Linked DNA regions of Mus musculus: all the other regions are reported to be linked to region 2. The links are microRNA targets in miRTarBase. Many come from high-throughput screens and were not tested one by one. Region 2 holds a microRNA gene; each other region holds the end of a gene's coding sequence. Distances are from middle to middle.

Region 1 (4,365 bases), 80 Mb from region 2:
TTTTTTTTTTTTAAATGGGAGTTCCATGGAGTAAATTGCTTCCTCACAAGCATGTCACAGCTGAACTATCTCCAAAGCCCCTGTTTTTCTTAGAAAATTGGGTTTGAAAGGTTGAAAGGTGCCTCAGGTCTGGAGACAAAGCTTTTGGTAGAGTGCTTGCCTGGTATTCTGTTTTACTTGTTGCTGAACACAGCAACTAAAAAGTATCTGGCTTATACTTCCTGGTCACAGTCATACCTGAGGTAAAGTCAGGGTAGGACTTCAAGGAGGAACTGAAGCAGAAAATGTCCCACAGACCACTCTAATCTTGGAAATGTTTAAATTGAGGTTTCTTCTCCTGGGTGAATGAATAAATGAAAAAAAAATACTGTCAAGTTGACAGAAGTTAACTATTACGTTTAGTGTGCACAAGCCTTGTTATAACCCTATTGCCATGTAAACAAGGTGTGATAGTACACACCTGTAATCTCAGTACTAGTGAACTGAAGGCAAAAGGATCAGAGGTTCACCTGTGTGATGCATTAGGCCTGGTCTTTAAAGGGAAAAAAAGGCTTCAGTACACATACCCACACAGAAGAAAGTTTTTAGTTTAACAATATTTTAGATTGAAAAGCAGACCCAAGCCCTGCTGTCCTCTCAGCCATTGCACTGCAGTTCATGTTTGCTGGGTTATAGGCAAGTCTGGGAAAGATTTATTTGAGCTGTTTAGTGCTGGGAGGGTTGCATGGAACAGAATTTTTGCTTCTTAGGATAAATGCCTAGTGTCTGTCTGCTCTGCAAAATAAATAGGACTTGGCCAATAAGAAGTTCATTGGGTATCTTAGAGTTTTATTGCTGTTAAGAGACTCTGACCATGGCAACTCTAAAAAAGGAGAACATTTAATTGGGGCTGGCTTATAGTCATTATTTAGTCCATTATGGTGAGAAACATGGCACAGTACAGGAAGATATGGTGCTGGCTAAGGAGTTGTGAGTTCTAAGCAGAAAAAGATGTGTGTGCCACACTGGGTGTGGTTTGAGTATAGGACACCTCAAAGCCTGTTCCCACAGTGACACTTCACACCAAGACCACACTTACTGACAGTGCAATTACCTATGGCCGAGCAGTCAAAAACAGTCTAGGGACTGTGCCTACTCAAACCACCACATTAAAGATACTTGCCACATGGTGGAAGAAGAGACAATTGACTCCTTCCTACAAGTTGTCCTCTGACTTCATAAATGCACTGTGATATGCCTCTCTCCCACAAATATGAATGTAATCTAGGAGGAAAAAGGAATGACCACTGGGCCTGTCAAGTTTTAATCTCATAGATGAGTGCTAGATTAGGCTACATGGTAACACTTCGCTTGTTTGTAGACCAGAAGAATGTGTCTGACCTTTTGGGGCTGGAATGAGAAGCAGTTGTGAGCCACCTGATGAGGCAGTCTTAATTGAACTGGGTGCTTACTGAGCTTTGCTGGCCAATAAGCTCCAATAATTGTCCCCTTGTTCCCAGCAACCAAAGTATGGAACATTGGAGTTCTGGGCAGGGCACAGCAAAGTGCTTGAAAAAGTTATTAGGGCTTCTTTTTCCCTTTTGCCACTACATTTTTATATCACGGAATAAGTAACACTAACCTTGGAAATGTTACACCTACCAGTTTTCAGGATGCATTTTTAAGATTTACTATATACATGTTATATACATGTCATGTATACACATGGTCTCCCCGCACATATACCTGCGGGCCAGAAGACAGCACCAGGTCACATCATGTGATTGCTGGGAATCACTCAGGACTTCTACAAGAGTATCCAGTGCCCTTAACCTCTCTCCTTCCTGGGTGTAATTTCTTTCTTTCTTTTTTTTTTTTTTTAATAATTTATTTTAGTTTTTATTAGATATTTTTTTTCCATTTTTTATTAGGTATTTAACTCATTTACATTTCCAATGCTATACCAAAAGTCTCCCATATCCACCCACCCCCACTCCCCTGCCCACCCACTCCCCCTTTTTGGCCCTGGTGTTCCCCTGTACTGGGGCATATAAAGTTTGCAAGTCCAATGGGCCTCTCTTTCCAGTGATGGCCGACTAGGCCATCTTTTGATATATATGCAGCTAGAGTCAAGAGCTCCGGGGTACTGGTTAGTTCATAATGTTGTTCCACCTATAGGGTTGCAGATCCCTTAATACCCTCAGTAGTTTGCTTCTCCCTCCCTGTTGCAGGGTTTGGAGGGCGGGGGTGGATTCCTGTTCAAGGAAACATGATTGAGTCTGAGACTGGTCTGTCTCCTGTTTTAGTTTTCAACAAGTAAAAACAGCACATTACAATTTACCAACTAACCTCCCTGGACCCTGGGAGTGAAATTTGAAATATCAGAATTGGGAAACTATCTCTGGAATCAACAAACAGGCAAACAAAGTTGGTGGCTTTGGATATGATTGTATTCAACTACTTGTATTTTAGCTGTGATGAGAGAATATTCCTTTCTGATCCTGTAAAGTCAGGAAGTTTCTTCTGGATTCTTGGTTAGGGTTGACAAAATAATCCTATGACATCATGTCCTTCCAACATTCCAGAATTCAAAGTACATCTATTTGAGCATAAGTATAAGATTGCCTGAGCCTTTAGTAATAGCACACTGTAGGTCGGGGCAGTTTCAATGTAGTTTACTTAAATATTAATTCAGCATAGCTCAATGTGGTGGGTACCCCTAGGAGCTGCTAAATCTGTGATTCTCAGCCCCCAGGGGTTGTTGAACAACCCTTTCACTGGATTCCCTAAGACAATTGATTCATAACTAGCAAAATTATTAGGTAGCAACAAAAATAATTTTATGGTTGCGGTCACTACAACATGAGGAACTGCATTAAATGATAGCAGCTTTAGGAACGAACAGTGAGAACCATGGTTCTTAAATAGTATCTTAAGAGTACTACACAAAGCCGGGCTTGGTAGTGCACGCCTTTAATCCCAGCACTCGGGAGGCAGAGGCAGGTGGATTTCTGAGTTTGAGGCCAGCCTGGTCAACAGAGTGAGTTCCAGGACAGCCAGGGCTACACAGAGAAACCCTGTCTTGAAAAAACAAAAAACAAAAACAAAAAAATAGTAATGGGCATGAGTCTAATATTTGAAGTCAACTGCTGATTTTTGAGTCTGCCTTGGCATATGATTTATCTTGACCAATGTAAATTGAGTCTTGACTGTCTGAAGCACTATTATCAGGAAATCCTACCTAAAATAAAATGGTTTTTCCACAGTGCAAAAAATCAGCACTCTGGAGAAGACAGAGGCAGATGGATCTCTCTTAGCTTGAGGCCAACCTGGTCTGAGCTACATAGAGGAACCTTGTCTCAAAAAAACTAAAAAAGGAGAAAGTGTTTTTTTCAAAACCCAAATCCTACTTAAAATAAATCTACTATGAGTGGGATCCTGAAGGGGAAAAGTTATCAAGGGCCTGGGGATACAGGTGGTGAGACACTTGGACTCAGCCAGCTTCGAGCTCTCCTGGAATTCTGAGGTTTAGTAAGCAAGGAAAGAGGAAGCTCAGATGTAGTGCTAGGGTGTTCTGAGGGTTGGGCTAAGCCTAATAGGGCCAAGCGTTGGGCAGGTGGGGTGGAAAAGTAGATCTTCTGTTCTTCGGAGTACCGTTCTTCAGGAGTCACAGCATCACGGTAAGTCCAGTCCCGCCAATGGAAATTGAAACCTTCAAGCAGAGTGATGCGGCCAGCTCTTGTAGGCACACAGTCAGGGGGCTTTCTGGGTGGCAAATTTGGCACTTCAATCCCTGGCAGCAACATAACCCCTCGGATGGCAAACCAGCCCCCAAATCGGGGGTGTATGCACACACCTGCTATGTGCTGGGGAGAGGACAAAGAAAAAGCAGGGTTACAGAGGTCATTTTGACACTAGGTTCAACGACTATTGGAAACTTTTTATCCCCCAAGTATGGGTATGAGTGTTTTGCTTGCATGCAAGCAGTACCCACAGCGGCCAGCAGAGGGTGTCAATCTAAAAACGAGTTGCAGATGGTTCTGAGCAGCCACGTGAGTGCTTGGGATTGAACATGGTTCATACAAAAGCAACAAATGTTCCTAATCTTTTTCTAATTCTTTCCCACTCAGTGCACACTCATTCCATGCAGAAGGCTCTGTCCCTTCTATTAAATTAAGAAATCTAGGGCTGGAGAGATGGCTCAGTGGTGAAGAGCACTGACTGCTCTTCTGAAGGTCCTGAGTTCAAATCCCAGCAACCACATGGTGGCTCACAACCATCTGTAACGAGAACTGATGCCCTCTTCTGGTGTGTCTGAAGATAGCTACAGTGTACTTACATACAATAAATAAATAAATCTTTAAAAAAAAAATCTAGCCGGGCAGT
Region 2 (4,365 bases):
AGGGAGGTGGGAGTAGGTGAGTGGGGGAACACCCTCACAGAAGCAGGGGGCGTGGGAGGGGGTAGGGAGTTTCGGGGGGTGGGAACAGGGGAAAGGGATAACATTTGAAATGCAAATAAAGTAAATATCCAATAAAAATATTTTAAAAAGAGAAGGGTTTAAGCCTTCAGATTTGAACTCCAGTTCCTTAGTCTACTGGCATCTCCCATTATGTTGTAGACTTGTGTTACTTCCATGATTGAGAAAGTCTTCAAGATAAATCTCTCTCAATATATAAATACTGCTAGTTTCTCTGAATAAAGTTGGCCTAGTAAACTCCTTTCAAAATATATATTTTCACATAGATTTTAGAAAATTTACGAGTGTTTAGGGCAAGTCCAATTTAGAGTTTATGTTCTATCCAAACTACACTTAAAATTAACTGCTTTTCTGTAACTCTGCTTATATGTACTTAAAGTAGGAATAAAAGCATCCAGTAGTATATTAATATAAATACAACTTGATGTTAGACTTATGAAAAGAGTTTTGGATATATGGCTATTTGATAAATTTGGTGACCCTGTTGTTAGGTCTAGTAACTAAAAATCTCTTAGAAAATTCTGTCGCTTACTTCAATATTTACATAGCAACAATACTAAATATTGGCATTAAAACCAAGCTTTAGCTCAGAGGAAATATGATAAGCATCTCTTTAAAAAACAGTAACAAATCACAAAGCTATAGAACAGCTTTATGCCCAAAACCTGTTATTCTGGCTCTATTTCATTTATTCCCTTCTCTAAGAGGAGTGGAATTTTCAATCATAACATGGTTTTACTGCTATGAAGAACATACTTAGAAATATAGAGTATTAAGAAAAAGAAATATGCAGTTGTAATTGAAAATAATGACAATTATAACTGATGCTGAAGTAAAGCCTAAGAAATTAGGATAACACATTCAAACCCTATTTTAAAATTGGAGATAATTTTGTGGGGATTCTCTCCAGCTGCATCATATGTGATTTATTTAAATTACAGAGGCTCAAATAAAGTATCATTATTTATGTAACATATATTTTTATTTTTAAGATTTATTTTTTAATGTATAATGGAAAAACTTTTTGATTTGTTAGGACATTGTAATGATACCTAAACTTGTAAACAAGATGTATTAGCTCTAATATAGCAAGACAAAAATAACTTCAGAAGAGAAATAATAGATTGATTCAATGATGATTCATAAGTAATTTCAGAATCCTGTTCATTATCATTTAGGAATGTAATGGTGTCACAAGAAATCGGAGATAAATACAATCTATCACTACGAAAATCTTGTTGCCATATGACTGAGCTTAGATTACACCTAAGTTCTAGCCTTCAAATAGAAGAGCTCATATACCAAAACTAAACAAAATTTTTGGAGCTTATACCAGCGATTGAAAAACTAATGGTGAAAGGTTGGGTTTCTGTTTCTAGAATCAGCACATTTAACAACACTAATGAGGGTAATAACCATGAACTTCCTGTTGTTTCCCAGCAACTGGTAGGTAACATGATAGCAACTATACTCTTTAGCCTTGTGAAACTTACTCATTTTAAAGATTATTCTAACACTATGAGTATGTATATGAGTGCATCTGTGTGTGGGAACATGCACATTAGTGTAAGGTCCAACATAGGCCAATAGAGAGTGATAGAGAGTGTCAGATCTCTTCAGCTGAACTTATTGGTTTCTGTGATGCATATGATGCAGGTGTGCAGCAAATTGTACCCTGGTTCTCTTGATGCACAATCCAAGTTCTCAAACATTGACGATGGCTTTAGACTCTTACTAAATTTCTTTGCCATTAAAAGATGACAGAAGCTAAATTTGTAGAGAATTAATGATAAATAATGGCAAATTAAGTATACAATTTTGTATATTTTGGCTAATTCTGTGTCTGTATCATTTGAATAGTATTAAAATTTAGTTACTTTTAAAATTATTTTAAAATAATGATGTTTATAAATTCCCTGATTAATTTCTATTTGAATTGCATAATCAGTAAAGTCACTGGATAAGCTCTCTGTAAAAATGTTTCCTCTTTATTAATATATATATATATATATATATATATATATTTGTCCAAGTAATAGTAACAGAATTAAATTTCAAAATGTTTCACTTATAATTAATGGGTGCAGATGTCAATTCAGTGCTTTTGTTTTGGATCTACTGCATTTTTAAAAATAGGGCATACTGCCAATTGTTGGGGCAGGTGTTGCTAAAAAAAACAAGAACAGACTGTGCATAAATGTAAAATACACACACACACACAAACACACACACACATATATATGTGTGTGTGTATATATATATATATATACATATATATATATATATATATATATATATATATATATATATATGAGATATGAGATGGCCTGGCAATATGTAATAGGCAGTCCTCAAATGCTGCCATCCTCCTGCCTCAGCTTCTCAGGTGTTATATTACAAGCAAGTTACAATATATGTAGCTTAATTTTCCAGTGCTTGACATATCTTTGCTTCTTGTTCTCTAATTAACAAAGTAACTGTTTATGAAAGGTTTAAATCTTATAGCTTAAGGATTTGTTCTCAATGGCCCAATGAAGGATCCTAGGTTTCAAAATACAGATCAACTGTAGGAGCACCTGTGAAGCACTATGAATTACTTTGTAAACCACTACCACACTAGATTTGATATAGTGATTCACAGAGAAATCCATAGCACGTGACAGTTTATGTAATGCTTGTACACATGAACATAAAAATTATATGCTACCATGCCCAGAGTTTGAAAAATTATTCAAGACATCTTTTTATCGTTCATATGGCATTAAAATATAATTTAATTTAATTTTAACAACATTTGAGCAAGAGAATAAACATTCATGAATCAACAGGTTTTATATATATAGTATTATAATATATACATTTTTAATTGGTAAAATAATAAGAAACACTGAAAAAATCTGAAAAATACATAAAACCAAATTATACTTTCCGTATTATGTATCAAGGTAGATCAATTAGAGGAATGAGCAAGAACAACCAAGAGATGAAAGAGAAGTAAAATGCCCACTATGCTCATAGAATTGAGATATGGATATTAATATAACCTGTGGGAGGAGAGAAGTAAAATAAGGAATGACATTTCATACGTGCATCTCACATTACAACATACACATGATGTGGTTGTTTTGCTCTAAAAATAGTCTCAGTTAGCCTACATGTATTTTGCATAAGTTCTTAGATTTTATCTGATTTTTTTTCTATCTTAAGTTTGAGTTCTGCATGTGATTGGCTGAAACTCTCTGAGGCTACTTAAATATATGTTAGTTTCCTCACTAGGTTCAGCTTTGAGAAACAAAACAAAACAAAACACCAAAGTAACTGAAAAAAATCTCTAATGGGCACTGCTTTAATAAATTCACAGGAATGAAACATCTTTCGTTTTTCTCCTTTGTTATGTTTGCTTCAATGGTAACATTTATCTAAAGATTTAAAAGAAAACTAGAATTTTAATTTATGATCATTAAAAAGAAAATAATTTTTAAATTTTAATGGACTAGGATTATATCTCTCAGGCCATCTATGGATTTGAGAATTTTGACTTTTTGTATGTATACCATGAATGTCAATAATAATTAACATACAATATTTTTCAGAAATTTGCAAATCTAACATCTTAGTGTGTTCAAAACTGTCACTACATATCACTGTGCATTCCCAAGTAAAACAGGGAAGTAAGGCCAGACTGGCTGGCTAAGCAAGGAAAAACTTTAAGTGGAAAATAAATTGTAAAATTATTTACACATTCATATATACTTACCGTATGGCTGGTATATGACGTACATAATGCTTGCCAGGTATAAGGAAGTAAATGCAAACCCAATACATACCCTAGCTTCAAGAAACAGATAAAACAAAATAAATAAAACCAACAAGAACAATTGTGTTCCTTAAAAAGGGTCCACATAGATTGCTTTAGAGTCCACATTATCCAGTCATAGCAGGAGGTTTCTGTGAGAAATTACTTAGTTGAAAAATTGAAGGTACAATACAATTTAGCAATGAGGATAGGATTAGAACATTTGAAGCAGACGGGGCACATTAAAAACAGTAGAAAGAAGAAATTAAAATGTCATCTGTTCTCTGCTACACTACTGCTGAAAGTAGAAAATTACACAAAATTTAGATATAAGTGAAAACTAGCAAGCATGTCCAGATTGTAGACAACAAATGAGAGAAATTAGAAAATAAAGATACTAAGCAACATTAAGCCTGAGAAATGTGCATGACAGATGTGCATGGCAGATGTGCATGACAGATGTGCATGGGAGATGTGTATGGCAGATGTGC
Region 3 (4,298 bases), not on the chromosome of region 2:
CCAAGGATTTCTGGCTTGACCTCTTCAGGGTCTAAGTGAGGACACAGCCACACTGTACTTGCCTCCGCAAGGCTGTGCACTTTACCCCACTTCCAAGGCTAGCCCCTGAGGTCTCAGTGCTTGGCCTGGCACGGCTCTGTCAGGACTTCTCTCACTAGGTTAATCCATAGGATTGCTATTCTAAGACCTAGTGTCTACAGTGATTAAATGTCACTCCAGAGGAAACCTTTCCACAAAGGAAGCTTTCATGACCCCATTTACCGAACATAATCCCTGTCCTTTATAAATAAGGGCAGTGCCAGCTAAACTCTGATTCGGCTTGCTTTTTGTGGTAACATTCCATTAAGCCTTAAATAATAAAACATTCAATTTTGGCCAATTTTTTACTTTTTACTACATTAGGAAAGAAAAATTAGGGATATTATCTAGAAAATAAATGCAACACTTTCTGCCTTTGTTCATAAAGAAATAAATGGCGCAACTAGAGGCTATCACCAGAACTTGGTATGGAGGACCAACTGATAGCTACCATTTTATTGTTATTATACTTTAAATAAAAGTCTCTCTTATGTATTTCTTCCTATAACATACTGTGTGTGTGTGAGTGAACTCAAGCGACCCACCTGCCTCTGCCTCCAGAGTGCTAGGACTAAAAGCACGCTCCAGCATTGCCCAGCTCTGACATAGTCTTAAACGTGTTCTCAGTGTACTTCGTTTTCTCAGAAAGTCTGGCAGTGAAACACAAGAGTGTGCCTGAGGGTTTGTACTTCATAAGAACCGTTCAGGTCTAGATTAAGACTGGCTTCCCATCTGGTGTATGTAACTAACTGCTGGTATCAGTTGTATTAGCTAATATTGCAGATGCTGAAGGACAGGCTCTGTTTCAATTCTGAGCTATAGTGTCCATGAGAATGTAAACATCCATCAAGGGAAAAGAGCTTACCATCAGTTAGTTGCCTAAAACTTTTTGTTTTGAATTTAGTAACATGTAAGAGAAAATGCCTACTATATTGATTTTCTTGATGATAGATAAGGCCACATGAATGTAGGCAAATGGTCAATAGTTTTATTTCGGCATTTACTAACGTCTTAAATATAATCACATATAAAACAAACATTTCAAAAGTGCAAAATATCAGCAAGGTTATCAGAGCTACTCATCGTCCCTTGCAGACAGTCTCCCACCAACTGTGCTGCCAGAATCACAGACAGAATCACAGACAGAATGCTGTCACCCTGGAGTTTAGAAACAGCCTTGGTCAGGAGATTGTGCATGATAACAGACGACGCAGTGCAGGTCCACACCCAGGTCCCTTGCCACCACACTGCCTTGTATAACACTCAGCGTGGTCACGTGTAAGTACCGGACTGCGGGAAGAAGCCTTTCTCAGTGCAGGGGTTTATCTAGCTCTCCAGGGCCAAGCTGCCCATCTTTGGTCACAAGAACGCACTCTTGGTTGTACTTTGGTTTACTCTTAAGTAGTAATGACTCTGCTAACAAGAGTAAACAAACCTCAAGACAGCAATTGACAAAACTTACTTTTTAGTATTTAATGAATATACTACTTAATTCTCAGGTATTCTTACTCAAGACATATTGTAGAAAAAATAAAGTATTCCATATACCTGGAACTCCTTAGTAGCTTGCTCATCCAGTATTACCCATGAGCAGGAAGGCAGGCTGGGCCTGACGTACCATGCTTGCCTCTCTAACGTCCAGGGCACAGTGCTTCCCTCCCTTTGCCTGTCTGTAGAGGGCACTGCCATCTGAGGGTTTCAGGGCATGTTATGTGCAGTGCCTCTGGATACCATGATAGGTTTACAAAACAAGGAAAAAAACCAAAACACAGCTCACCTCTCCTGCCACTCTATAGAGACCTGTGGAAATCAGAGGAGCTAAAGGGCAATCGTGAGGAGGACAAAGATGACGGCACATGCTAAGGAAGGGAACACTTAGTGTACAGTCACCCTTCCTCACGATCAATGTGCCTTGAGTTATCCAGATTCAGCTCCTCAGACCCTGTAGACAGGGTTTTCCTTCAGAAGGTAGCCTAGCTTGCATGCTCAAATCCATGACTGCCAACTGTAATAAACAATTTGATGGTACCTCAGAAAGCAGTGACGCAGCCGGGCGTGGTGGCGCACGCCTTTGATCCCAGCACTCGGGAGGCAGAGGCAGAGGCAGGCGGATTTCTGAGGCCAGCCTGGTCTACAGAGTGAGTTCCAGGACAACCAGGGCTACACAGAGAAACCCTGTGTCAAAAAAAAAAAAAAAAAAAAATGTGACATTTATGTCACATACTTCCTTTACTCAAGTGGAAGGAGCAGGTGACTTAAATCGGTGCTACTAAAAGACTGCATTTACAACATGAACAGCAGGGAAGGGCCATGTAATTTCAGGTTGACCTTCAAAATAAGTATTACCTAGTAATGTCCTCAACTTCACCGCTGGCTTGGAATACGGTGTAAAAGAGCAGGCACACAGTTAATACAACCTTCAGGGTTGCAGAAGCTGAAGCAGTTGTAAGGACCAGGACCAGGACCAGCACCAGTGGTTCTACAATCCACTCACGTAACAGTGTTCAGAGCAAACTGTGCTATTAGTAAGCTTCTGTCTGATCTTCATATAATCCAGGAAAGAAAAGCTGGCTCAAAAGCCAGCAGCTCTCCCAAATGCAGTGATGCTCAGCCCTCCAGCACAGAGAACACACAGAGGGACGGGACCCCTAAGTACCTCTACATCTTATACTCCCACCCGTAGTGTTGGTAAGGATAAGGAGTAACCCCCCCCAAGCCCCCTAAACAGATATTCATTCCCATGTAAGAAACAAGGAAGTGCTGCTGTTAAAGCATTGGGATATGTAAACGCCCTAGCCACAAAACCTGCTGAGCGTCCATACAGAACAGTGAGTGCCCCTCCGCTTTCCAGTAGTCTCCAAAGAGGGTTCTCTTGGGAAGATCCCATGGAGTAAGGCAGGCAGCATGCAGGACACAAGGTAGCTGAGAAGGAAGCTGCAGCAGCAAGCGTGTGGGTTTTCAGGACAGTCTCCCTCAGTGTCCATCTATGGGAGAGGGGGGGAAAAGGTCACCCAGGGGAACCAGCCACCAGAGAATGCCACTGTCTAATACAGACTTTCCAGGTTCCTGTCTGGAGGCTGGGTGTGGTAACTTGGGATCCCCAGCACAAGGTAAGATGTACACCAATCCTTTTCTGAGTGGGCTACTGGACACTTCCTGTGAATTTTAACCAGTGTCCTCGAAGTGAGTTTTTCTTGAGGTTCCAATGTTCCTTATAACGTGTAAACACTTCACTGCATTGAAAACTTACATTAAGCAGCCACAGATGGGTCATGTTTACTGTAAAGGCTGATCAAGGAAGACACCCTGGGTTTGGTAGATCTCTTTGAGAACCAGCAATACTGTATCTTCAGATTCCCTGTGTAGAGAAAAACTTACGTTGAGAAAAGACAAAACCATTTGACACCATATGCTTTTCATGTAATCTATACAAATACCTTAGCTTTTTATTAATTTTTACTACTGTAAAAATATGTGCCTTAGAGGTCCATTGCTAGTGGTTTGGAGGTGGTCTGGAAACAGGAAGAGTTAAGGGTCCTGGCACCTTCCCTCATAAAGGCGGTAAATGACTGCTTGAGGCAGGTCTCACTCTAACCCACGCTGTGCCTGCAACTTACTCTATGGCTTAGGCTGGTCTTGAATTCACAGAAATCTTCCAGCCTCAGCCTCTTGCCTCAGGACTACAAGCATAAACCCACTCTTAGCTCCCAGAGGCATTCTTGAAACAACAGGAGCAGCTGTCTGCTCATCACCTTCATTTTTAAACTTTATTTGCTTTTTAGAAAAGGCAATAGGATTGTATGACCCAGAATTTCCAATGTATCAGATGGGGGTTAGAGAGCGGCTAGACGGCTGGCTGAGCGAGAATGGGGTCTGAGTCTGGAACACAACACTCACATGAGTAGCCAGGCTGCTTAACCTGCTCGGATAGTTAACAGCACAGTGAGGGGCTGAGACTGGAGGATTGCTGAGACTTCCTGGCTAACAGCCTAGCTCAGGACTCTGTCTCAAAGGAATAAAGTAGAGAATGACAGAGCAGGATACTCAGTGCCCTCTGGTCACCTCACATGAGCACATACGTATTCATGCGCACACATATAACCCATACAGAGAGAAAAAAATATGTGTAATATGCATATTTTACATTTATAACCACTTCCTAGTTTAGAGTCCTTTTCCTCTCGTCCTGTCTCTCCTAAACACCAGCTTGAGACTCTCAT
Region 4 (4,307 bases), not on the chromosome of region 2:
GTGTTGGAATAGAATAGGATTTTGGACTCAAGTAGAACCCTCTAGTGTCTAGTCCCACATCTCTGACTGTAGAGGACTTTCCTGCCTTCTGCTTACAACAGGAATTTTAAGAAAGTTGTGTTTTGAGCTGATTACTGTTTTAAAGAGACATCATATGATGAACAGTGAACCTGTGGTGGTGATTATGAGCATTTAGTGAAGCAGCTTGAGCGCCACCTGTAGCCGTGAGTGGAACATGAGCAACAAGGGGTTCAAGCAAGGCTGACCAAACCCTTGGATCTGACCTCTAGGGCATAGACTAGAAGGACTTGTGTGTACAAGCTTGAAGACTGACATAGACCACTGAATTCTGACCTACTAGTCTCATTGCATATCACTTTCTGGTGGAAATTAATGTTTCTCCTTATTGCAGAACACAGATGCTGTTCATCTTGCTTTGAAGTTAAATAATTCTGAGCTAATGGGAAGAAAACTGAGAGTCATGCGTTCTGTTAATAAAGAAAAACTAAAACAACAGAATTCAAATCCAAGCTTGAAGAAGGATGTCATTAAACCTAAGCAAAGACTTAATTTTACTTCCAAAGAAGGAAAATTCCATTCCAAAGAAGGAAAATTCCATTCCAAGAATGCATTTATTGGAGAAAAGGCAGTTCTCATGAAAAAGAAAAAGAAAGGACAAAAGAAAAAAGTACAAATGAAGAAACCAAGAAAACAGCAGTAATAACTGAGGTTGCCTCCTTTCTGTGGTGAAACCTTGCAATGAGTGTCTGGGTTTTTTATGGATTATGTAGAAAATGTGGAGGCATCCACGGTGTCTGGTTTTTGTTTTTGTTTTTTTTTTAATTCATGCTATATGTAAGGCTTCTTTGAAGCCTTGTTCTTAGAAATGTATTTAAAGAAAAATAATAAACATTAATACTCTGTGTTTAGGATAAGTGTTCAAATGGTCACTGTGAGAATACTGATTCCAGGTATAGTCACAGTCCCTAAGAAAGACTTGTGAGCTGTGTAAAACACACACGCACATTCTTCACTTCTCATTTTTCTTTCTCTTGCAATTGTAGTATAGATCTACATTTCTTATCCCATATATCTAATAATTGCTAACCAATAAGACTGATAGGATAAGAGTGACTATCTTCTAATTCGTTGCCAGTGACTACAGTGGTCAATGATGTCCTTGGCTATTAGGTGTGTGTGTGTGTGGAGGGGGGGGTGCTCATAAGAAAAATACTCTTCCAGGAAAATGTGATGCTTAAATTAGTATCACTCAGAATGAAACAGCTGTCCCAGAAAGTTTAAAGACAGCATCTAATAAATGATGTTAATTAAACTGCAGTCTTTAAAGTTGAATGACATGACAACATGGTGCTGCATTCCCTAAGTTCCAGACACATCTTACCAAGCTGGGGCTGGATCCAGGATGAAGTGGGGGAAGCAGGAAGCCAAGGCTGATTCAGGCAGGCAGAGTCCAGTAGGCAAGAGGGTAGGATAAGTTTTCACTCTTTTAGTTGTAAAAGTTCTGTCTTTGGGAAATGCCATGTAGAAAACCTAATGAGGTCTTTAAAACATAGCTCTAGGGGCTGGAGAGATGGCTCAGCAGTTAAGAATACTGACTGCTCTTCCAAAGGTCCTGAGTTCAAATCTCAGCAACCACATAGTAGCTCGCAACCATCCGTAATGAGATCTGATGCCCTCTTCTGTTGTTTGTTTGTTTGAGACAGGGTTTCTCTGTATAGCCTTGGCTGTCCTGGAACTCACTTTGCAGACCAGGCTGACCTTGAACTCAGAAATCCGCCTGCCTCTGCCCCCCAAGTGCTGGGATTAAAGGCGTGCGCCACCATGCCTGGCTGATGCTCTCTTCTGGAATGTCTGGATACAACTACAGTGTACTTACACATAAATAAATCTTAAACAAAAAACAAACAAACCCCATAGCTCTAGAGGCTGGAGAGTTGGTTTCTTGGTTAAGAGCATGCACTGCTCTTCAGAGTACCTAAGTTCAATTCCTAGTACCCACGTCAAGCAGTTCACAACTGTCTGTAACTTGAGCTCCTAGGTCCAACTCCTCTAGTCTCCCCAGACTTTGTGCACTTTTTCACTAACATAACCTACACACACATATATACAAGTAAAAAATAAAAGTGTGGGGCTGGAGAGATGGCTCAGTGGTTAAGAGCACTGACTGTTCTTCTAGAGGTCCTGAGTTCAATTCCCAGCAACCACATGGTGGCTCACAACCATCTGTCCGATGCACTCTTCTGCTGTGTGTCTGAAGTCAGCTACCGTGTACTCACATTAAATAAATATTAAAAAATAAATAAAAGTGTGTAGCTTTTACAGCAGAGAAAGCTCTATTTCCTGTATCCAAGACTGGATAATTTATGGTTGGTTTTCCTTACAGTATTTAGAACCTTTTCAGTTAAATTTCAGCAATTTTACCTGATCACTCTGGAGCATTTTTGCATAAACTATATAAAGATGTAACATTAGATTGTGCGTGCATATATAATCTATGTACAACTTACAGCTCCTGTGAGTGAGCAGGTTATATACATGCATAGATGTAACTTTATTTAATATGTGTATGATGTGAATGTGGAGGCCAGAAGAAAACTCTGGAGTTTTCTCCTTCCAAAGCATGGACTCACTCAGCCATCTCACTGGCCCTAGATACTTTGGAATTCGGTACTGTGTAACTGTTGAAATTCCTCCTTTAGAATGTGTGTGCTACTATGATTGTGTAAATCATTAAAAAATGTATTTTGTAGGAAATTTTCTAAAGATGCTTAGTGTAATTTCTTGGTACGTTCTATCTGATAAAATACTTAATAGCCACAAGACTATGTATATAAGTGGTCAAGAGTGGATAGAAGTTGGCTTTGTTATAAAAGTGCTGGCTAAGTACTGATTAGTCATGAGTATGAAACATTTTTTTCTTGTAAACTTTTTTTCTCCCTTAACATAGCTTCAAAAAATCCTTAAAGGGGCTAGAGAGATGGCTCAGCAGTTAAGAGCACTGGCTATTCTTCCAGAGGTGCTGAGTTCAATTCCCAGCGACCACACGGTGGCTCACGACCATCTGTAATGCTATCTAATGCTCTTTTCTGGTACGAAGGTGTACATGCAGGTAGAGCACTCATATGCATAAATGAAAAAAAAAAGCATTCTTACAATGAGAGGTGCAGGAAAGGCTTGCATCGGCTACCTCTTATCACTGTACCCAATTCTCAGAGACTGCAGCATAGCTTGTCACTGTCCCAGGTTTCGATGTTTCCTCAGTGAAGGGAGCAGTTGCTGTACCAGACTGCCTTTCCTTCAAAAGCCAGCCACAAGTGTGGTGGGTGGGTTCGAGCATTAGTAACGAGCTGGTTGGGAATCTTGATGGGGGTTGTGGAGGAGGGAGAGAACGACAAGACTGCAGTTTAATGACGGCACAAATCAGGGCCACCCATAGACTTTTTTTTTTTTTTTTTTTGCCCTTCTGCATTCCTTACAGGTTAAATTTTTTTGAACGAATTAACCCATTTTTCTTCTCCGCACCAGGGCTACATCATAAAATTATTTTGCAGTCAATCATTGTGTCTAATCTCAGTCACAACGCAATTTACAAAGCAAATACTGCCAGATCAGGCGGCTCAGGTCTTCCTTTAAAACCACAGCTCAGAGGATGAGGCAAAAGGATTGCAGGTTCGAGGCCAGGGCAGACTACACAGCAAGTTCCAGACCCTACTATGCTACAAGGGGAGAGCCCGTCTCAAAAACCTAAAAAGCAAACGCATGCACTTCAAGTCACAGGCTTCCTGAAGGACACAGTGAGATGAGATGCTGTTCTCAGCCGGCTCCCACCTTCGTCTTTCATTAGCAAGGACAGTGGATTAGAGGCTTCTGACTCAGCACGCCACAAACACGTGCTGCCCCTGACCCCCTGGTCACGGGATGACGCACAAATCCTTCTGCAGTGCACGCCCCGCCCCCAGCTTGGCGTCTCAGCCGCGCAGACTGGGTCCATCTGCGCGTGCGCACCAGGCGTTCCCGCGCAGGCACCGCCGCGGACAGCCCGCCGCGGACCTTCCCCCGGGGTCCTCGCGCGCCGGAAGTCCTCGCGCTCGGCCTTTTCCGTCTGGACTGGAGGCAGGCGGCTGCGAGCGGCCGGCGTGCTCCGATCGGTCGGAGCTAACCGCTGCCAGGCGGGCTGCCGCGGCCCGGCGTACGCCCCAGTCGAGCGAAGATGGTGGGCCGGAACAGCGCCATCGCCGCGGGCGTGTGCGGTGCCCTCTTCATCGGGTACTGCATCTACTTCGACC
Region 5 (4,296 bases), not on the chromosome of region 2:
GACGGAGGAAATACCAGATGCCTCTTTTCTTTTGAAATTTTGAGGTACAGCCTTGCTCCATTGCTGAGCGAGACTGAAACCTGCCTTCCTCCTGCTTCAGTCTCCTAAGTGGCAGGATACAGGCTTGCACCCCCAGATGCAGCTTTATTTTGTCAACCTAACCAGAAGGCAGAAGTGGGGATGTTCTGAGATGCTGTGGAAACATATCAGGAGACCATCCCAGCAGGTTCACTAGAGGTGCCTTTGAGGTCAGCACCCATGTGGGTGATCTCCTCCCACACCTTACATACACTCAGGCACCTGACCCCGGGCAGCTTTCACTTTCCCATCACTCCTCAGCCACGGGAGGGCTGGTTATTAAGGGAGAGCACCGAGGTCTATGGGCTCTCCAGCCAGCTTCTCTGGGATCCCATCTTGACTCTTCCGTCTATATTTTAGCTACCTGTTCAGCCACACCTTGCCTCATGGAAGTTGTTACTCATCACAAGCTGAAGGTGCTACCTCTTGCAGCTACTGGAAGGCTAACTAAACAACCAGATGTGCTGTAACACCAAGGCTTGTGCTCTGAAGGTAGCAAGTTCTCTGTACATTAAAAAACTTTAAGCATATGGTGGCTGCAGTTTTAGTTATCCAGCTTATCTATTCAGCCTAACGTGTATTTACTGAGTACTTACTGTGTGTTATATACTTCTCAAAATACAACATCTTTGAACAAAATAAAGCAAAATCTACACTACCTACACTTGTATTGTTTTTTCAGAGGCAGATGGGAATTAACAATCACTAAACTATACTTGCAAACAGCTATAAACACGCTACAATGAAAAAGAGACACAGTTGAGGGCCTTCAGAGGGTCAGCAAGAATAAAGCTTAACACATATGCTAGATCTTTCCATGAAAACAGTTTAAGGCAATTTGATTTCCATTTGGTACCCTGCATTCAGAATCCCAGTTGTGTTAGTGACTCCCCCACGGCTCCCCACTAAACTCCATCTCCTTTTCTAATGTTTCTGGGATCTATCATCTTAGGTTGAGCACTTAGGCCTATGTTGCTGTCATAACATCCTCTCTAGTCTGCCCTTCCATGTTGTATATGCAGAGTGCTCAAAAGCAAGACTCTAAAGAGACACTTTCACGCCAGTGTTCATAGCATCCCTCCCAACAGCCCCCGTGCCAATGAGTGAACAAGGAAAACAGCACATTCATTCATTGCACTGGATATTCAGACTTGACAAGTGATGCACTGTGACACGGATGATCCTTAGAGACGTCATGTTGGATGAAGGAAGACAACAATGGACAGATAATATATGGTGCAACTTATAGAAGACGCCTAGGATTAAGTTAATGGTCAGAATGCAGAAAAAATGCCTGGTCAGGGGAAGGGATGGGGAATCACTAATTAGCGTGCTGTTTCAGTCTGAGATGATGACAATGTTGTAAATATGGTAAGAGTCACACAACAATGGCAGGTTCTTCATGTCAGGAAGCTGCTCGATTTAACTCACTAGAACTCATCATACATTTTACATTATATTTCACTACAACATAAAATAGTTAAAGAAACAAGGAACTGAGTTCTTAATTAAATGTTTGAAACATATTTGGTTCACATATTGGGAAATGTTCACATATTTGAACATGCAAATAAATTTTATGACTCTCCACATAAAGATACAGAAAAAAAAACCATTTATCTGAATTGTCAATATTTATCTGAATTGTCAATATTTATCTGAATTGTCAATTTAGTCGTAAAGCCAAATCAATGCTATTATAATAATTTCTGCTATTATAATAATTTCTGCTATTATAATAATTTCTGCTATTATTATAATTTCCCCTCACTATCAGGAAAAAAGAATCCCACCCATACTCAGGGTTAAGATGTAATTATACGATGCATCATAGCCATCTTAACATTTTTATACACAGTAAATTCCTTCAGTTTAGATTACCTTCAAAAACAGAACTGAACCCACAGAAGTATACAGTATATCAAAAGGACAAGGCCAATAACACAAAATGATTTTATTTTTGTCACTGGTGACAAACATGTATCGCTGGTTTCTTAAATATTACTTATGTACTCATTAAAAATATGTTTACATCTAAAAATGTGACACAATTAGGAAGTTCTCTCTAAACATAATCTTTCCTAAATATAATTTCCTAGTTTGTTTCACACATAACTTAATCTACAAAATCAAAAATAAAACTACCAACCAACTCTGTGGTCTAGAAATACATACAAACTGTGAAATCTGAGAAAGTACTTTCTGATTTTAAAAATAATATACAATATATGCATATCACTAATCAAATGGTTCTTACAAGTTCTTACTGTCTCCCAACTTGGAAGAGATGCCTGTAATAGACCTTTCAATTTACTTAGTAAAGATGCCATACATGTAAAAAGTCAAAACAATCACAATCAAGATTTTGTCTGTAGAGATCAGGTCTCACTTTGTTGCCTAAGCAGCGTACGCTGGCCTGCGAGTCACCGTTCCTCGGCCTCAGCCTCTGACAGCAGGGACTACTGACCAGCAGACGAGATGAGTCTCAGAGCAGAGGAAACAGCTACTTCATTACTAAGTGGCTTAAAACCACCTTGGCTTCTCTGAAATAAAAAAGGGTTGGCATGGAATCAAACTTAAAATTTAAGAATCAAGACAGGCGGTGGTGGCGCATGCCTTTACTCCCAGCACTTGGGAGGCAGAGGCAGGTGGATTTCTGAGTTCAAGGCCAGCCTGGTCTACAGAATGAGTTCCAGGACAGCCAGGGCTACACAGAGAAACCCTGTCTTGAAAAACAAAACAAAACAAAACAAAAACAATTTAAGAATCAAAAAATTCAGATTAAATACACACTGAGCTCATGAAAATATCCCACTGAGATTCTGTAACAGGGGCAGAAGCAACTCCATCCAGCTTTTCAAATTTATCTTTGACCATCATTTTAATGAGTTAAAAGCTTTAATGGTAAAAATTACAAACATTTTCTGCAAATAATACTGGTACATATTTCATTAGTTTTTGTTGAACAACTGGAAATCCTACTTCTTTAGAAAACATGAATTAATCTGTTGAAATACACCACCTATGTACTGACTTAATAGCCACTCAAGATTCGCTAGTAAGCTTATTGTTTTTATGCAATAACATTAAAAAGGAATTTTGTATGTTTGCTGTTTTCACTTCATACATTATTTTGTGGACCTTTATGTGGTTATAAGATTTACAGAGAAATGCATTTCAGCTGTTCTTATTAGATTTTAATGGTTCAAACTACAAATAATGCTAAGTCAAGCCCTGGCATTCCTTTTTAAAAATCCAAGTTTCTAAAAGTTCTAAGTTTTCGGCAATATAAAAATGATCTTCTTTACACCTTTAACTGCCAAAAACTGGGTAAAAAACAAAATATTCTGTTAAGGAGATGATTTGAGATGTTTTGGATCCTATTTTTAAAAACAAGATGTGAAACAGAAAACTTCACAAACAGCAGCTCAAATTCCATTAACTTACAGCTCAATGGAACACACAGCCAGTTTTTATGCTTAAACAATTCAAAATTAAGGTTTATATTGGTAATGTCAACAAGTCATAACTACTACACATCACCTCTGATACAACCCACTAACTTCAAACAGGCTCAGCAGCTGTGCATGTCGGGTAGATGCTGTTTAGAAACTCACAGCTAGCAGAGCTATAAATATACATAAATAAGTGTGGCAACACTCTGGAGTTGGGGCCATTACAACAAGACGTGATGTAAACACACGTGCTGATTCTCGCTCAAGCCACTTCCCACTGACATGCTCAGCCATGGTTTTATAATTCTTTGTAAAAGAAAACATTTTCTACTCAGCATGCAGCATTGTCATTTTATATCTTGACTATGATGGAATCTTCAAATTTTCTTGCTAAGCTTGACATATCTCATCAGGAATTCTCTGGAAGTCAGCTTGTGTTTTCAGCAGCCTAGACAAAACAAGAGAGCAAGATCCATTATTTTAAGAAACCATAGTTAAGACAACCATGGAGGTAAATCTACCTATACCATATTTAACAAACAGCTAGTTATTCCACATCACAACTCAATTGGTTTTACTGGAAAAATACAATGATTTTTATTTTTTGTTGTATTATCAGATATTTTAAATTTACTGCCAGATTATAAAAAGAAGGAGTCATTTATATAATAGAGATCATGTAAAATGTACTACTTCTTTAAGAGTTAACACATAACTTGTTTTCCAAGGTCTTCATTAGTTTTTTTTTACTATAGTGTAAAGA
Region 6 (4,365 bases), not on the chromosome of region 2:
TACTCCCGCGCTCACTGGAGGGATTCTAGGCACGGGGCTCTATCACTGAGCCAAGCCTCACCCTCTTACTTTTAAAAGACAGTCTCCCTAAGTTACCTAGGCTGATCTTGAACTTGGTGATCTTTCCTCAGCCTCTGGAGTAGTTGCAGCCAACCAGGCCCAACTCCATTGTGAAAACTAAGGGTGGCGAGGGGCCGTAGCTCTGGGGGTTCCTTTAACGGACTTCCCCCTCTTAACGCTGGTATCCAACACCCTGCAGGTGCACGCAAGAAGCTGCGCCTGTACCAGTTCTTGCTGGGGTTGCTCCTACGCGGGGACATGCGCGAGTGCGTGTGGTGGGTGGAGCCAGGTGCCGGCGTCTTCCAGTTCTCCTCCAAGCACAAGGAGTTGTTGGCTCGCCGCTGGGGCCAGCAGAAGGGCAACCGCAAGCGCATGACGTATCAGAAGCTGGCCCGAGCGCTGCGCAACTATGCCAAGACAGGCGAAATCCGCAAGGTCAAACGCAAACTCACCTACCAGTTTGACAGCGCGCTGCTGCCAGCCTCCCGGCATGTCTGAGCACTCCGCTAAGGACCCCTTTCTGGCCCCTAAGTCCCATGGAGCCCCATATGAGGGCAGTCAGGGTTCTCAGCTCTCCCTAGAGCCTCCCCAGAGTTTCCTGTGCCGTGTATAGGATTCCAATCTAGGATGGTCGTGTTTGAGGGAGCACTGGCCATTCTACACGGTTTCAGAATGGCAGGTTTCTCGGGGGGGGGGGGGATGGGGGAGCCCTGATGTCGTCTACGGTTCCAGAAACCGCAGTTCTTGCGAGTCCTGTGAGCTCACATGACATCTCACCAGCAGGTGGCGCTGTCTACAGCCCCCCCCAAACCCTTGTTTTGTTGGCCAGATAGGTCGGTCCCTCTGTACTCCCCCTGAAGCCCTTGTTAGATCTGAGGTCTAGTTATGTTTGGAGCTCTCTGAGAACCCTGTGCCACCTGTGTGTGACTTTTCTCTGCGTCCGTTTATGACTTTTGTTTGTTTGAGACAGGGTCTCATTATGTAGCTCAGGCTGGCCCCCCAACTTTTAACAATCGTCCTGCCTCGGCCTCCTGAGTGCTGGGATGACAAGGGTGCACCATCACACCAGGTTTTTTCCTTTTTTGAGAGATTTTACTATGTAACCCGGGCTGGGCTATTCTCAAGCTAGTGGCAGTCCTCTTGCCTCAGGCTCCTCTTGCCTCAGGCACCCCTTGGGACCCTCTGGGACCTATGTCCGAGATGAATGGCTGGGTAAGGTAGGGTGGGAGGTTCAGTGAACCTTATAGGTTGGGCCCTTCCTTCTGGGATCCCTTGATCATATGGGAAGTTCTCTAGGCTCTCAGCAGCCCTGCATTCACACACTGACTGAGGCGCGACCTGTATGTTGTGTTTGAGGGGGATGTGTGGCAGAGGTATGGCTGTGGCAAGGCCGGTGCCTTTTATTCTTGAGATTGAGTCTTATGTAGCTCAGGCTGGTCTTGAACTCACTCTCACTGTGTAGCTAGGGAAGACCTTGAGCCCTTGCCTCAGCCAGAATGCTCAGATGTCAGGCAGCGCACCACGTGACTGTTTCTTTCCATTGTCTTGTCTTTTTGTTGTTGTTGTTTTCGAGACAGGGTTTCTCTGTGTAGCCCTGGCCGTTCTGGAACTCACTCTGTAGACCAGGCTGGCCTTAAACTCAGAAATCCACCTGCCTCTGCCTCTCAAATGCTGGGATTAAAGGCGTGCACCACCACGCCCTTTTTCCTTTTTCTTAAGTCAAGGTCTATTTGTGTAGCCCAGGCTGGCTTCAAGCTCATGACACTCTTCCTGCCTCTGCGTCTGGAACTATGAACATACCTTACTACTCTGTGCTTACCCACGCCATGGGTAGACAGACTTCTAGACTTGGTCAACCCCCACCCACAAGGCAGGCAAATTAAGTCCCTGCAGGTGCTTTCTTTGGAGGAAAGCCCGCTTTCATAGTGATCTGTCAAGCTAGAAAGCACTCCCGCCACCCAGATATCTAAGTGTGAATCTTTGGACAACTGGTGACTTCTGGCCAGCTTTTCTGGGGCCGGCCTCTGTCCAGGTGTCTGCCCAGGACCCTGCTCAGTGCCTGTCTGTCTCACACCAGTGACTTCCTCACACCCGCCTGTTCAGGCCCAGTCTTTTCCGTTCAAGTGCTACAGGCCAAGTAGGCTCAAACTGTGGGTTTGTCTTGGGCATCCACAGCAGAATCAGAACCCAGAGCTTTGAAGCCTGAGTGAGGGGAGGGGGGCACTCAGGCTTCCGTCTCTCTGAGAAACAGACGATGAAGAGGCCCTTAAAACTCTTTGCAACCCCATGAGCCTCCCCAATGAGCCTGTGACACACCGGAACTCACCTCTGTGGGTGGCCGGGAGGGGGAACAGGGTCATGGAAGATCCAGATGTCCATGTGGTCAAGGCTAAACTGTACTAAATAAAATTATTTCTCATCACCACTATACATGCATAATAAATAAAGTGTACATCAAAATTAAGCCGTCTTGGGACCCTTTATTAGGAACTGTCCCCTGCACCTCCACATGAACTCTTCTGAGACTGTGGCAGTCATAGGGAGGGAGGGGGAGGGAGGGGGAGGGAGAAAGGAAGGTGGTGGGCCAGGCTAGGGCTTGAATGAGGAAACCATTGTTTCCCACCTTGCTTTTCTGCTCACCCCTCCATTCCAGACATCTGACTGTTCGGTTTTTGTTTTTTTGTCTTGAAGATAGGCTCTTCCTTACGTTGTAGTTCAGGCTGGTCTTGAAGTCACTCCAATGGCCCTGTCTCAGCTCAGTCTCTGGAATTCCGGGTTACAGGGGTGTGTTACTACAATGGGTTGCTGTGCAACTTGCCTGCTCCCTAGGGAGCGAGGTGGAAGTTTTTGCACTGCAACCAATGGTGTGACAGGACTTTGTGCCCCCAGAAGCCAGGAAGCTTCCGGCTGTTAGGGGATCTTTTTTTTGAAAGTAGAAAGGAGGGAGGGACACAAAGAGTAAAAGGGGGGGGGGAGGACAGCTTGTCTTCGATACCCTGGTTCCTTCCTCTGACACCCTTCTGGGCCAGCCACACCTGTGGTTCCCCAAGTGTCCCTCTCCTCCTCCTTACCCGCTCCTCCCCTCTGGTGCTGGGAAGGAGCCGGGCCTGGGCAGCTCTCCAGGGCCTTCCCGGCCTCTCTGCACTTGGCCGGTGACGGGCAGCCGGCCAGGCCGCTCCCATTGGGACCCGGATCAGAATAGGGCGGGAGGGACACCGAGAACTCTTCCCTGAGGCCGGCACCCGTCCTGCCTACGCGGGGGAAATCGGACTATCCTTCCCGTCTCTGGTTTCTAGAAAACTCCTGACTGGGGCTAAGAAAGGCTTCCAGAACCCGCCCCGCTTGCCCCGTGCACCTGAGACTCCCAGCCCCCCACGCCCGTTCCCAAGACCCAGGATTTCCCTCCCTTTTTTCCTTTTCTCTTTTCCTCCTCGTTCTTTGCCCCCACACAAGTGCCCTCTCTGCTTCCCCCCTCTCCCCATCTTGTGCTCTGGCCACTTCTCGTTCCTCCTTCTCCCCCCCACTTCATCCAGGACCTAAGAATCTGGACCCCTGTGCCCCCAGACTCTGGGGTTCCAGTTCCCCTCTTTCTGCGGTCACGCAGTCTTCACCTTTGCACCTCCACAGACTCAGGTGTCTAAGCACCACATCCCATCCCCACTAGGGCCTTGGCATCCCTCCACTCCTGCCTGCTCGCTATTTCTCGCCCTTTAGAGCATGCAAGAGGAATGCGGGGCGGCCCTGCGCTGCCTCCTGGGAGTCTCGAGACTCCATAAAGGGCTCCTCCTGGAGACCCACCTGTCCCTGCTAGGGCCTGGTTAGAGCCACTGCGGTCCCAAGTCCTGGGAGCAGGAGAAGGTCGCCGACATGCCTGAGGCTAAACCAGGTGGCTGGCCCGAAACCTTCTTGGGGGTGGGGGTGGGGATGGGGTGGAGGGTAGGGTGCACACAAGGGGATTTCTACTATGGGAGGAGGGGGTCCTTTGCCTGTTCCTACATCTAGGTAGAGTGTAGGTTCCTTTCCTGCTTGGGGAAGAGGGACCCTTTCTGTGTGCACAGATGGGTCCCTTCCTAATGCAGGACCATGAGGTCTATTGTCTGTGTAGGGTCAGGAGTCCCCTTCCTCTTCGGGGACTGGGAGACCCATCTTGGGTAGAAATCTCAGTTGTGCAATTATAAATTGGCCTCGGTTTTCTTTCTCTCTCCCCTTCTCTCTTTGCTCTCTCACCCCACCCCTGCCCCCAAGCCCTCCAGGCTGTCCTCAAAGTCTGCAGCCTAGGCTGGCCCCAAACTCACTCCGGAGCTA
Region 7 (4,357 bases), not on the chromosome of region 2:
GGGTTTTCTGTGCAGCCCTGGCTGTCCTGGGACCTCCTCTGTAGACCAGGCTGGTCTCTGTCTCAGAGATCCGCCTGCCTATGCTTCCCAAGTGCAGGGATCAAAGGTGTGCGCCACCAGCCAGCTAGGGCAGATGTTTTGATTTGTTGTTTTGAAGACATCTCATTTTGTCACCCTGGCTGGCCTAGAACTCACTGGCTTGAGATCACCCTGCCTCAGTCTCCTCCTGTTGTGCCAGGATGGCTTTTTTCAAGAGGATTTTGAAGGATGAATAGGAGTTGGCAAATGAGAATTCCAGGCTGAGAACACCAGGTGGCCAACTGTGAGATGGGACTAATTCTAGGTTTCACTGGGTCTCACTTGCCCCTTCTGTGATCACCCTAAGGTGGGATTCATTGACTACATCGCTCAGCCATTGTGGGAGACATGGGCTGACCTAGTGCACCCCGATGCTCAGGAGCTTCTGGACACCTTGGAAGACAACAGAGAGTGGTATCAGAGTAGGATTCCCTGCAGCCCTCCACACACCATGGGCTCGGACAGGTTCAAGTTTGAGCTGACCCTGGAGGAAGCAGAGGAAGAGGAGGAAGAGGAGGATGAAGGGCAGTGCACAGCACTGAACAGGGAGTCCTCAGAGTTACCCAGCACTTAACTCCTGTCCTCTAAGGCCAGCCCAGAGCCCAGGGTCTGCTTTGTCCAACAAGAGTTGGGCTAGCTTAGTGTGGACCGTGGAGTCCTGGTCAGGCCATGGGCACCTATGGGCACTGATGACGTTCCACCACTCAAAGAGGACAGCCAAGGTTTACACAGAGCCAAGCCTGAGGGAGGCTGGGACCAGCTCTGCCCACAGACTGGAATGGCACCAGCCCTGGGAAGCGCCGACTCCTGCATCTCAGAAGACAGACTTAGACTCAGCTGCAGTCTGCACGTCAGCTTCAGCACATGCAGTCGGACTCTGTGTTATGGTTTAGTTGGTTTCTTTTTTGGCACTAAAGATGGAACCAATGTTGCCTTCACCAGTCCAGCTGCAAGCCTTTACTGAGTCCCTCGGGGGAATCCCTTTCGTAAAATGCGGGCGGGGAACACTTCCCACTGAGGTCTGGTGTCTCCTGACACCATTGGCTGCACAAGACTCTTCTTAGATATCAGGAGGCCGGTGACCCTCCTAGAAGACCACTGCAGGCCTCAGTCCTCCCATCAATGAGGATCCCCGTCTCCGACAAGATTGGGCTTCTCAAACCAGTGTGCTGGTGCACCTCTCTTCACCATAGGCATCCCCCAGACTTGGCTGTGTGTGTGTGGAGACAGCTGGTCCAGGCTGGGCAGCCTGACTAGAAATAAAAAGAGCTGGAAGTGGGCTGGAAAGATGGCTCAGTGGTTAGGAGCACTGACTGTTCTTCCAGAGGTCCTGAGTTCAAATCCCAGCAACCACGTGGTGGCTCACAATCATCTGTAATGGGATCTGTTTTTTGTTTTGTTTTGTTTTGTTTGTTTGTTTTCGATACAGGGTTTCTCTGTGTAGCCCTGGCTGTCCTGGAACTCACTCTGCAGACCAGGCTGGCCTCGAACTCAGAAATCCACCTGCCTCTGCCTCCCAAGTGCTGGGATTAAAGACATGTGCCACCACCACTGTGTGGCCTGAAATGGGATCTGATGCCCTCTTCTTTTGTGTCTGAAGAAAGCAATGGTTACTCACATATAATAAATAAATAAATCTTTAAAAAAAAAAAAGTAGCTGGAGTGTGGCTAAGGGGTGGAGCTTCTGCCTAGAATTGCCCAATGAGGGGCTTGGGGTGTGGCTCTGGTAACAGAGCTTTAGCTTTTGGGAAGTCCTGAGTTCCATTTCTATCACTGCAAAAATAGAATAAATAGAAGAGCACTGCAGGCCTCAGTCTTCCCGTCAATGAGGATCCCTGTCTCTGACAAGATTGGGCTTCTCAAACCAGAGTGCCGGCACACCTCTCTTCACCATAGGCGTTCCCTAGTCAGGGTTCTCTAGAGTCACAGAATTTATGGGTATTCTCTATATAGTAAAGGAATTTATTGATGACTTAGAGTCTGCAGTTCAACTCCCAACAGTGGTCAGCAGCAGCTGTGAATGGAAGTCCAAGGATCTAGCAGTTGCTCAGTCCTACACGGCAAGCAGGTGAAGGAGAGAAAGCCTTCCTTCTTCCAATGTCCTTATGTAGGTCTCCAGCAGAAGGTGTAGCCCAGATTAAAGGTGTGTGCCACCACACCTTTAATCACAGATGACCTTGAACTCAGAGATTTCCCTGTTTTTGTTTTTTTTTTAAAGATTTATTTATTTATTATATGTAAGTACACTGCAGCTGTCTTCAGATGCACCAGAAGAGGGTGTCAGATCTCATTACGGATGGTTGTGAGCCACCATGTGGTTGTTGGGATTTGAACTCAGGACCTTCGGAAGAGCAGCGGTACTCTTAACCACTGAGCCATCTCTCCAGCCCATGAGATCTCCCTGTCTTAATCTTCTGGAAGCCATAGCCACTATGTCTTAAGATCTCCATACCAAGATCCAGATCAGAAACTTCTATCTCCAAGCCTCCAGATTAGGGTCACTGGTGAGCCTTCCAATTCTGGATTGTAGTTCATTCCAGATATAGTCAAGTTGACAACCAGGAATAGCCGCGACACCTACTCATTCTCTTGTGTGGAAACTGAGTCATAACTAGTCCCTCAGAGCTTATATACTAAGAGTGGGCACTGGTGCCCCCTGGCGGTATGACTGATTCCCTGTTTGTTTTCCAAACAGTTCTTTGGCCGTTTTGAGACAAGGTCTCATGGTCTCAAGTTCTAATGTCAGACTTGTTTGCCGCAGAGGATGACACTAACGTTATTTTCTTGCCTCCACCATTCGAGTGCTTGGCTGGGGTAACAGGCATGTGCCATGGGGGGGGGGGGGTCCCTCTCTTTCCCTTTTCCTTTTTCCCTCTGAGCCTGTAACTCTGCACCTGACCAAGGCCTCCAAGGAGCCAGAGTGGCAGGCGACTTCCTCTGTAAATATTATGACTCGGGCTATTCATCCCCAGGAGGCACAAAAGGCCATCTGGGGTCACACACTGGAACATTTCCTTCTTCCTTCCAGATGTCTTAAGAGGCGACCCTTAGAGATTTCTTGTTAAACAAAGTCATGTGTGTTCACTGTGGGAGAATTTGGAAGTCACACAAACCTGATGACGTGAGTTCCATTCCTAGGACTTGTGCTGGAAGGAAAGAACTGACTTCCTAGGTTGTCCTGTGACACTCCCCTCTTTCCAACACAAATAAATGAATATAACTTAGAAAGATTTGAGGAACAGCTTCCCTCTGTCCCTTCTTCTGCCTGTGCTCTTGTTTGCCCAGGCCTTTAACACACTTGCTTCATTCTTCCAGACAGCTGTGCTGTCCTCTCTGGGGAGCCTCAAACTCAGAAATTCCCAAGTGCTGTGTAATTAAAGGTTTCTGTTACCATGCCAGCAGTTTCCCCGCACACGTTTATAGTATGAAACAGGGTCTCACTTTGTGATCCAGGATGATAAAGAACTCAACAACCCTCCTGCCTCAGCTTTCCAAGTGTTCCGATGAAGCCTTGCCACCTACTGAGCTACCAGCACAGTTCTCCTGGAGCCCTTGCTTGGTGGTGGAAGCAAATGGGTTCCTCCCCTAACCTTATCCCTTCGGAATAAATCCAAATCAGGCTCCAGTGTCCCAGGCTCCTCCTGCACCCTTTCTGTCCTCAAACCCGGTCCCGGTCCCCACAGTAGCCTCCGCGTGGGCCCGGAGCTCGCTAAGTAACAAACTGATGGTCACTTTGTGTCTCTGCATGAAGTGCAGGGGAAGCAGGAAATAAGCTTCCTCCAGCGGCCCCGGATTGGGCGGGGCTCCAGGCTCCTCGCGGGGGTGGACGAGCATCCAGGCGACAAGTTATTCTGGTCCATTGGCGCCTCCGCAGCTGGCGGGGAGGTCTATAAACAGGGCCAGGACACGTTCCCAGTTCTGCTTCCTGTGGGAATGGAAGCGATGGGGACCCTGCCCGGCCGCACGGAGAGGAAGAATAGGATAGACCCCAGATTCCCACCTTGACAGGCAGATTTGCAGGAATGAGTCGTGTGTATCATAGCGGCTTGGAAGTCTGCATTTCTGCGCCCACCTTCCTGAGACACAGGGTTACCCGGGTCCCAGTGTCCATATCGTAAAGGGCGTTGGGCAGCTACTCTTGAATCTTCTCTGCTTCCTTGGTCTTTCATTACAATTTTGGAAGACTTATGGGTCAGGATACTTCTGAGCCCTAAGTGCGCAAGGAAGCAAGGGGTTCTCTGGGGACTCATCAGACCCTTTTCTCTTTGCACAGACCGGA

Evidence for each region. The annotated mature microRNA mmu-miR-876-5p reads UGGAUUUCUCUGUGAAUCACUA and lies in region 2 at 2,707-2,728, opposite strand. An mRNA with a match to its seed (bases 2 to 7 or 8) in the 3' UTR can be bound and repressed. Matches are read on the target gene's strand: a 7mer-m8 pairs with bases 2 to 8, a 7mer-A1 pairs with bases 2 to 7 and ends in A, and an 8mer does both.
Region 1: miRTarBase lists Mmachc as a target of mmu-miR-876-5p. Seed matches in the 3' UTR shown: 8mer at 2,984-2,991.
Region 3: miRTarBase lists Ddhd2 as a target of mmu-miR-876-5p. Seed matches in the 3' UTR shown: 7mer-m8 at 2,188-2,194.
Region 4: the mRNA of Rbm34 is a reported target of mmu-miR-876-5p. Seed matches in the 3' UTR shown: 7mer-m8 at 1,790-1,796.
Region 5: the mRNA of Mzt1 is a reported target of mmu-miR-876-5p. Seed matches in the 3' UTR shown: 8mer at 2,728-2,735.
Region 6: miRTarBase lists Spib as a target of mmu-miR-876-5p. Seed matches in the 3' UTR shown: 8mer at 1,703-1,710.
Region 7: miRTarBase lists Pde4c as a target of mmu-miR-876-5p. Seed matches in the 3' UTR shown: 8mer at 1,573-1,580.

The regions. Positions count from the first base shown.
Region 1 is chr4:116,700,023-116,704,387 of GRCm38, forward strand. Mmachc (methylmalonic aciduria cblC type, with homocystinuria) reads right to left here. Exons shown (of 4, transcript NM_025962.3): 4 at 2,412-3,845. The coding sequence ends at 3,435. Among named protein-coding and RNA genes, the nearest start is that of Mmachc, 6.2 kb to the right of the region's middle.
Region 2 is chr4:36,642,716-36,647,080 of GRCm38, forward strand. It overlaps Mir876 (microRNA 876), which reads right to left and starts at 2,738; the gene lies at 2,658-2,738. The region is part of intron 2 of Lingo2 (leucine rich repeat and Ig domain containing 2); the gene reads right to left.
Region 3 is chr8:25,724,302-25,728,599 of GRCm38, forward strand. Ddhd2 (DDHD domain containing 2) reads right to left here. Exons shown (of 18, transcript NM_028102.1): 17 at 3,329-3,436; 18 at 1,023-3,062. The coding sequence ends at 3,355. Plpp5 (phospholipid phosphatase 5) reads left to right here. Exons shown (of 7, transcript NM_028000.1): 7 at 1-586. Among named protein-coding and RNA genes, the nearest start is that of Plpp5, 6.4 kb to the left of the region's middle.
Region 4 is chr8:126,945,649-126,949,955 of GRCm38, reverse strand. Rbm34 (RNA binding motif protein 34) reads left to right here. Exons shown (of 11, transcript NM_172762.3): 11 at 413-2,784. The coding sequence ends at 721. Tomm20 (translocase of outer mitochondrial membrane 20) reads left to right here and starts at 4,035. Exons shown (of 5, transcript NM_024214.2): 1 at 4,035-4,307. The coding sequence starts at 4,232.
Region 5 is chr14:99,032,530-99,036,825 of GRCm38, forward strand. It overlaps Mzt1 (mitotic spindle organizing protein 1), which reads right to left. Exons shown (of 3, transcript NM_175245.4): 3 at 2,015-3,981. The coding sequence ends at 3,961. Among named protein-coding and RNA genes, the nearest start is that of Mzt1, 11 kb to the right of the region's middle.
Region 6 is chr7:44,524,152-44,528,516 of GRCm38, reverse strand. It overlaps Spib (Spi-B transcription factor (Spi-1/PU.1 related)), which reads left to right. Exons shown (of 6, transcript NM_019866.1): 6 at 260-2,522. The coding sequence ends at 558. It overlaps Mybpc2 (myosin binding protein C, fast-type), which reads left to right and starts at 3,848. Exons shown (of 28, transcript NM_146189.3): 1 at 3,848-3,946. The coding sequence starts at 3,928.
Region 7 is chr8:70,749,456-70,753,812 of GRCm38, forward strand. It overlaps Pde4c (phosphodiesterase 4C, cAMP specific), which reads left to right. Exons shown (of 17, transcript NM_001310465.1): 17 at 386-1,731. The coding sequence ends at 652. Among named protein-coding and RNA genes, the nearest start is that of Rab3a, 3.1 kb to the right of the region's middle.